2 linked regions of the Oryzias latipes genome follow. The protein of the gene in region 2 binds, or shares a complex with, the protein of the main gene of each other region. Links are inferred from orthologs where the notes say so. Each region holds a gene or a part of one and is shown on either strand. Other genes may lie near its edges.

Evidence for each region.
Region 1: the proteins of tubgcp3 (region 2) and mzt1 are in contact, whole or in part, in a cryo-EM structure (PDB 7QJD), measured with the Homo sapiens proteins. The link is inferred for Oryzias latipes from reciprocal best matches to the Homo sapiens genes TUBGCP3 and MZT1. Residues at the interface, in NP_006313.1 of Homo sapiens: Lys7, Pro9, Leu12, Leu13, Asn15, Leu16, Cys17, Arg19, Ile20, Leu21, Arg23, Val28, Gln31, Tyr34, Ala35, Val38, Ile39, Asn42, Phe43, Ala44, Pro45, Thr46, Ile58, Leu62, Arg67, Asp70, Phe74, Leu77, Lys80, Leu81; in NP_001065243.1 of Homo sapiens: Asn17, Ala20, Val21, Glu23, Thr24, Val27, Leu28, Glu30, Ile31, Ser32, Arg33, Ile34, Leu35, Asn36, Thr37, Leu39, Asp40, Glu42, Thr43, Ile46, Cys47, Val48, Arg49, Leu50, Cys51, Glu52, Gln53, Gly54, Ile55, Asn56.

What each region holds. Positions count from the first base shown.
Region 1 is NC_019873.2:18,606,385-18,610,697, reverse strand, and holds mzt1 (mitotic-spindle organizing protein 1), read left to right. Parts: upstream 1-1,503; 5' UTR 1,504-1,804; coding exon 1,805-1,856; intron 1,857-1,961; coding exon 1,962-2,107; intron 2,108-3,591; coding exon 3,592-3,615; 3' UTR 3,616-4,075; downstream 4,076-4,313. Other genes in the region: bora (protein aurora borealis), read right to left, coding at 1-69, 175-220, 751-857, 1,018-1,167. UniProt on the Homo sapiens protein: Required for the recruitment and the assembly of the gamma-tubulin ring complex (gTuRC) at the centrosome.
Region 2 is NC_019860.2:22,840,277-22,843,845, reverse strand, and holds part of tubgcp3 (gamma-tubulin complex component 3), read left to right. Parts: coding exon 1-163; intron 164-1,149; coding exon 1,150-1,325; intron 1,326-2,209; coding exon 2,210-2,322; intron 2,323-3,270; coding exon 3,271-3,396; intron 3,397-3,482; coding exon 3,483-3,569. UniProt on the Homo sapiens protein: Component of the gamma-tubulin ring complex (gTuRC) which mediates microtubule nucleation.

The DNA of each region.
Region 1 (4,313 bases), on a different chromosome or scaffold from region 2:
AATATGAGGGGCTCTGCGAGTTTCTGCTGCTGCCCAAGGAGAAGGCACTATGGCTCCTTTGGTAAAAAACTTTATTCAGCAAGACAAAAGACATGAGTAAATCAGTAAATTGTCAACAAGACTTCTACTGAATTATTGCAATTTTAAAAAAAGATTGCTTTTAAAGTCCAAAACCTGCTCAATAGCACTCTGAAATTTTTCTTCAACATCAGAATCGGTCCTGAAATATAATAAGAAAATAATTTAGGTATTTAGATCTGCACAATAAATCACAGAGCTATCGCCATCTTGTTATCAGCCTGTGCAGTATGCGTATCGCAGAAGACAGTGCAATAAATCATACCATAAATGTTTACACACATGCCTAAACAATCTTATGGCAGCTTGAAGTGTTTCAAATTCAAAATAGCCTGTTAAGCTTTTGACTAATTGGATGGAGCCCTTTTATGTTAGATGCTTCCCTCCTATCAGGTAAAAGATCATTTGGAGTATAAATCAAGTTATACTGACTTTTATTTTGATAAAACTGTTGCAGTGAAATGAAAAAGATGTATTAGTTGTTTCATGTTTTACTTTGGGTTCATGTATCGTAAGTCACATCGTCATCGCAATATTGATCACCAATATCGCGAGTTTTCCTGATATCGTGCAGCCTTAGTTTAATTACAGTTTGTAATTTGCCAAATATTTAAGACTGGAATGCAATCAAAGATTTGCCACTGTTAACAAAATAAGGGATTCAGGACACACCTTGTCTGGCTGAGGTAAAAAGACTGTCGCTGGATTTCTTCTGGGTCTATGTGCACTGGGAGAAGGCTGGCCATTTCATCAATAGACCAGTTAAATCTTGGAGGGGTCTACAGAAAAGACAAGATATGAGACAAAACTACACAGCAGCCTTAAGACACATTTCTCGAAGTAAAAATTGCAAAACACACTTGCAAAAACCGGTTTCAGCTTGACTGTGTAAATAATATTCAATTTTAGTATAAGTTGTGGGTAAGAAATTAAACTTACAGCTTTACAGGACTTGGATTTAAAAACAGATGGGCTTGGAACCAAGGGTTCCCGGAGATGGTGGTAATCATTTGGACTCTCAAAGGGGTTTCTTATGGAAGGCCTGCCCGGAGTCTCTGGAGTTATCTCTAGCTCGATACGGTCCCCCATCCTGGCTGAAAATTCAAATTCAAGTTATAAAGAAAATGTATTACAAAGTACACTTAAAAACATTTTAAGTGTAAACCAACATGTATTTTTTTTACTCGATCCGTTAGCTAGCTGTGATGTTAGCTTGCAAGGAAAACAACAGTTTTAAAATCAGTTCAAAAACAACATAACACCCATAATTTAATCCTTACCGACACTGACTATGTAATTGTTTTCCGCCCCTGGTACTTACATGTTTTATCTGACTTGGACTGTAAAGCGACTAAATCAAGAGAAAGTCTTCCCCTGTCGACTCCACAGTGGTATTAGGAAGAGAACAATTCAAACGTTTATTTCAATTTCGTCCACGGAGCCAGCCAACCAATAGAATCGTTACAGAAAGTTGTTGAGGACCAATAGCGACATCTGTGTCGTCATTTCCGCTGCTAGTTTGCGGACGGTGCATCAACTTTGATGCAAGCTAAATGCTAATGCGGCATTTTATCGTATGTCAGAATCCGAGTAAAGCAAATATGAGATATTTTAAACGCGGCCGTGTTGTTTAATTGAATTGTTTTCATCAACGTTTTATCAGGGTAACATATAAGCTGTTGTGTATCTGCTAGCAAGTTCTAGCTAGCTAACTAGCGTCATCGTAATGGCAAGTGCAGCTAATGCTAACCTGAACGCAGTCCGGGAGACTATGGACGGTAAATATTTTAACTTGTGTGCACATATTAGCATATTTAATAAGAATTTCAAGATTATCATTAAATCATTCTATTAATTTTAAACTTTTCGCTTTTCCTGAACAGTTCTGCTAGAGATTTCAAGACTGCTAAACACTGGTTTGGATATGGAGTCCTTGTCCATTTGTGTGAGGCTGTGTGAGCAAGGCATCAACCCTGAAGCTCTGTCTGCTGTCATCAAGGAGCTCCGAAAAGCTTCAGAGTCTCTGAAGGTAGAAGAGAAACTACCACATCTCATTACAGACCAAAACTTATGTCCGTGTTTTTTTCTTCTTTTAGTGTTATCGCGAGTTCTATAACCATTTGGAAACCATTTGTTAAGCTTGAGTGTCATTGTTTTTTTATTTTTACATTAAAGTCTGTAATGATAAACATCATATCAGTGTAAATAGTAGTGATGGGTTGATGATGCTTTAATGAGTTTGACACATCTCCCAAACTGTTGACTCTGACATAGTGTTGCTCCCTCTCTAGTGACCCCTGCAGTAATTCTGAAATCATTGCAGGTAAATAAAATAAGAACGGCATTTTTGGTGTTTTTAACATGTTCTTGTAGCACTTTTTTATGATTGATTACATATAATAGAAAATTAACATTAAAACAGCATTTTTGATTATTTCTTAATTAAGAAACCGGAGAAGTCAAATAATGCAGTTTGAAAAACTTGCAGTTGTGACATAGAAACAACAGCCATTAGGCCAAACTCCCTGCTCTGCTCTAGTCTGATGCCTCCACTGGCAGATGAATAAATTTATGTACATTTTTGTTTTCCTCGTCTGAGCTGGAATCTGGATCAAAGCTGTTCAGGTGGATGGCTCAAATATTGTTCACTATATTTGTTGCACCGCTAGTGTGAGCTTGGGGTTGTCAGGGACTCAGTTAGCGGGAGAGTGTAAACAAGGTGTCGCTCGTCCCATCATTAGAAAATAGAGCTGTGGTATTAAAGTATTTCAGTATTTTGACTTTTATTTAACACAAGTTGTTTGATTGATGCCCACATACTAGTGAATCCTTAAACTTGATTTTTTTTTCTCTTTAGAATATTTTCTACTATTTAAATTTATTAAATATTTTATCATCCTTGCCACATCAACCCAACGATACTCTAAGCTTTAAAGTGTAAACTCAAATATTTTAATTTATAATATCTTGCTTTTTTTATGTAAAAATGGCTAAACCTGCAACTAAATCTATGAATGAGAAAAGCCGAGGACTGAAAAACATTTGGCGCATACAGATGAATTAATTCTGTTACTAAACGTCCTGAAAACAGATCCTTATGGTTTGTAAATAGAAATATAGACATGAGTTTATTTTTTAAAGAAAATGTAATTAATTAAATTTTCTCTGAGCTTCAGAAAAGCTCAAATATACTTAACATAAGTCCAGCATTCAATTTGCACTTTTACAGAACTGGCTTTGTCTGGTTTTGCAAAGTGCTTTACAGCTTCTTTCCCATTCACATACACACTTGCTGCAAAACCCAATGATCCACATGCCGAAATGAAAGCTGTTAGACTTTTCATCTGGAGTACCTCGTGCGTAAACGTCAAGCCCAACAAGACACCGACATCTAGAGGGACTGGGATCAAACTGTTTTCTGTGTGATTAATAGACTGCCTTGTGTCCCACCTGAGCCACAGCCACACCATTTCAAACAATAAATCATGATGGTTTATTACTTTTTATTTTCAGGTTTCTGAGAATTGCACAACCTGAAGATGGAATCGGAGCCCATCTGTGCAGGACTTTAATAAGATCATCCCCTGTTCCTGGATCTTTACCAGCTTTCCCGCCTCAATCCCAATCATTTTGACAGTGACTCAAATGTTTTCTACTTTTTTCATTTGTTTGTTGTTGTTTAAAAGAAAATGACTTACATTTGTTGTTTTTCAAACACACAAGACACAGATCTGAGCAGCACTGTCAAGTTTAAGCCTTCTTTTGTTTTGTTTTTTCTCTAAGCAGCATGGATGTTGGGTTTGACTGTCAGAATGTTTTATATCAGAAACATGTTGGACATTATATGTTAAAATCTTTATTGATTTTTTTTTTCAATGTATATTATTGCACTATCATTTTTTTTCTTGGTCATTTATTGGCACAAATCTATTTCTGAAGGTCCTGTAAGTTTTCAATGGAATTGTGGGAAATAAAATGTTACCATCAGTGACCACAAGGGGGAGTTCTAGTCTTTGTTCTCAGTATTTATTTAATTGTTGGGATTTTAAAACAAATACCACTTTATATTATTTCTGATTAAAAAAAACTGTAATATACATTTAAAAAAATAATATTTGGCTTTAGTTTCTTTTTTGTACGTGTCATGGTCTAATTTTGGGTCAGCAGTATAACATAATAACCTTATTTGGTTGGATTTTACAACGGAAACAATCTTTCCTGTCAGACCAGGTGAA
Region 2 (3,569 bases):
GGGACGCCCACTCCACCCCGTTTTACTGCACTCGGCCCCAGAGCCTGTCGCTGGGTCACGGGGAACGGACCGCCGCCCTGGTGGGGAGCGTCGGGACCAGCGGGATTTCCAGCTTGGGGGTGTACACGCTGAACGGCCCCACGCCACAGTCGCTGCTGGGGGGGTAAGCTCTCTGGTCCGTTCACACAGAGGGGGCAGAAAGGAGGCGCACAAAGCGGTAGAAAATAACATTGTACTTTGCAAGGACGACTCTCACTTTTCCGCTGCTTTTTTTGTGATTTCTATTGTTTTAAGTTGTGAAGCACTTTGTGAATCTGAGAAAAGGGCTATATAAATAAAGATTTACTTACTTACTGCGTGGCGTGGCCGTGGCTTTTAGGAGAACAAACTCGTTAGTCTGTGGTCTAATAAAACCCACAGCGATGAAGCTAGCAGCAGCAGATGAACCGACCCGTAAAAAGGCTGTTTTAGCCGCCATTTAAGGCTGTTTCTGAGTTTTTATAGCTACATATGCACAAAGTGCAGAAAGCTGGTTGATTTGCACTAATGCAGTTTTTCATGTCAGTTTTCTGGATGCAAACTGAATAAAACCAGAATAAGAAGTTAGTTTACAGTTGAAACCATCAATTTGATAACATCCGTGACAAACATGAACCAGACTTTTCTGGTTCCAGAAAGATGAGTGAAGATGAAATGAAGTAAATAAAACAGGAGAAGAAGAAGTTAAAAAAGAAGGAAATCAAATAAATTAGTAGTACTGTAGTTTTATTGAAGTTTTTCCAGTTTTGGTCTTTTTTTTTTTTCTTTTTGCAAAAAAGCTGCGGTTTTAGAAGCTCTTTTAGTCCAAGAGTTTCTTTTCTCGCATTTTTTCAGGTTTAGGTTAAGAAATATTTTAATTTGGATTTTTTTTTCTGTTAAACTTTTTCTGAAACTCTAAAAGAGCCTTTTTTATTATTTTTATTTGTTCTTTTTCCTGCTCTTTCAGGTTTCATCCGAGGATATTTTTCTGTCTGACAGCCCCGTTCAGTGACTTTGAATAAAGAAATGCTACATTTGGATGTCGTTTTCATCGGGTTGTCTTATTGTGTTGTGTGTCTGCAGCGCACTTCCTTCAAGTGATGTGTTGGTTTTTTTGTTTCTATGTTTCAGTCAGGTGCCTCCGTCTGCCGCTGGAGCTGCTCCAACTCTGGGCTCACGGTTAGCCTGGGCTCTTCCCATAAGCTCCTCCCCTTCTGCATTGGCCCCGCCCAGCGCCCGACTTCCCCTCGGACCTCCGGTGCCGACGGCCAGAGTGATCCGTCCTCGCCAAGACGCCGATCTGACTGGTGAGCGATGCGGACACGCTCCGCAGTGTAAATCGGATTCATGAAGCCACGATTTTCAGATTTAATCATTTATTAGGGACTTTAATGAAAAAATAATACATTTCCCACAAAATGTTTAACTATTTTAATAAAAAAAACTCTAAGAAAAATAATTTCTGCTACAGAAATATTAGAAACAATCAATAAAAATTGATTCATGGGCTTTAAATTGTAAAAAAAAATAATAATAAATTTCATGGAGGTCAGAGAATGCAAATATTGAAAAACATTCTAGTAAAATGTGTTAATAAAATCTTTTATTGTATTTATAAATAGATACAGAAATGTTTACATTAAAGCCACTTATTTACAGAAATAAATAATGCAGTGTAGAAACATGTAACTTTCTAAATTAGGAAACATAAGCTCAAATGAATAAAATGAAGACATTTTCTGCTAAATATATTTTAAAGCAAACAAACTGTTAAAAATGTCCTTTGTTTCATTTAAACTTGTGTTTATTTTTTATGTTCTCTAATACAAATCATGATTTTTATCCTGTTTCTATCGTTAATCCATCAAATGTGAACTTTTAGAATAAATCTATAAATAAAATAAAAGCTCATCCTCTTCTTTAGACGTCCAGCTTTCACAATAAAAGCACAACAACCCAACACTTCCTGTTTTAATGAACAGAAAGGATAATTTTCCAGGTAAAATTAATAAAAGTCAGAGGATTTTTCTTCTTCTTCTTTAAAATTCATCACTTGCAGCTTTTCAAGGAAACCTAAAAAAAAAAATGTTTGGAAAAAGTTTAATTTGAATATTTATTAAGCTTTACAAAGTAAACCCCATTTCTAAGGTGGGTTTTTTTGGAGATGATGATTGAGTGACCTGTCCACCAGGTGAGGTCCACGAGGCTGCGCTGGTGCGGGACATCCTGTACGTCTTCCAGGGAATCGACGGGAAGTTCATCAAGATGAACGTCCAGGAGAACTGCTACAAAATCGACAGCAAGGTACTGACGGCCGCAGCCAGCAGAGGGGTGGGGGCTGCACTTTACCGGATCGATGTGAAGCTCTCTGGATAAAAGATGCCGTTTTTTGCCTTTGTGGTTTCATCAATGAGGAGTATTTTCTCCTAAACATAGACTCAGTGCTCCACCAGACCAAGATAAACGAGGCAGGAATAGAGATAATGGGATGTTTTTAGTTGTTTTTTTTAGTCTTCACACAAAAGCTGTCCTTCAGGACATGAAAATTTAATGCACCTTTTCCTTCAGAAGGTAAAAAAAAAAAACAATCGTCATCTTGATGACACTTCAGAGACGGAGCTTTGCACTCTTGAGCAAACCAAACGCAACCTTTAGTGCCTTATTTGATCTATCACTCAAAATGTAAAACTTTTATAGTGTGTGATATAAGCCCTGTAACAAACCATTAATAGTAAAAGGAATGCTAGAAAATGAAAATACTACCAATTACTGTTTTTGACAGTAATCAAAGGTGGTTAATATATCCAAAACAATATTCAAAACAGATTAATCCCAATAAAAAATCGTTCTTTTTTTCTTTCCTTTTCTGTAAACAACTTTTATTTTATGAGCGTACGATTCATTTGGACACTTCTCTAAGCCCATACAGTCGATTCAGAGGCTAGGAGGATGAGGCATCCCCAAAACGGGGCGGGGTCAAACGGGATCTGAGCAAAAAAAGTCCTTCCTTCTGCTCAGATCAAGCTTGATTCCTGGATTTTAAAAGCTCCTAAAAGCTTGTGAGTCGTTGGTCTCAGAAAATCCCATCACCTCGGGAAATATAAACAACTCACGCACGACATGAAAAAAAGTATCATAAATGTAATTATTGTTATTTCTGTTAGTATTGAGTCCAGCTCGTTGACGTCATAAAGTCGTTTTGAGAGTATTTGTTACGACTCTCCTCGACTCGAGCTGACGTTTCCTCACTAGGTGGTGCTATGCAAATCCCTGAGGGACACCAGCAGCAGACTGGCCGAACTGGGCTGGCTCCACAACAAAGTGCGGAAGTACACGGACGCCAGGAGCCTGGACCGGGCCTTCGGGTTGGTGGGGCAGGTGCGTGTGCTTCGGCTCCATCAGTGGTCCTTGTTCTTGGATGTATCCGCCCTTAACGCCCGTCTGCCTCTCTCCGTCTGCCTCAGAGCTTCTGTGCCGCGCTCCATCAGGAGCTGAAGGAGTACTACCGGCTCCTCTCGGTCCTCCACTCACAGGTAAACCCGCTACGGGAG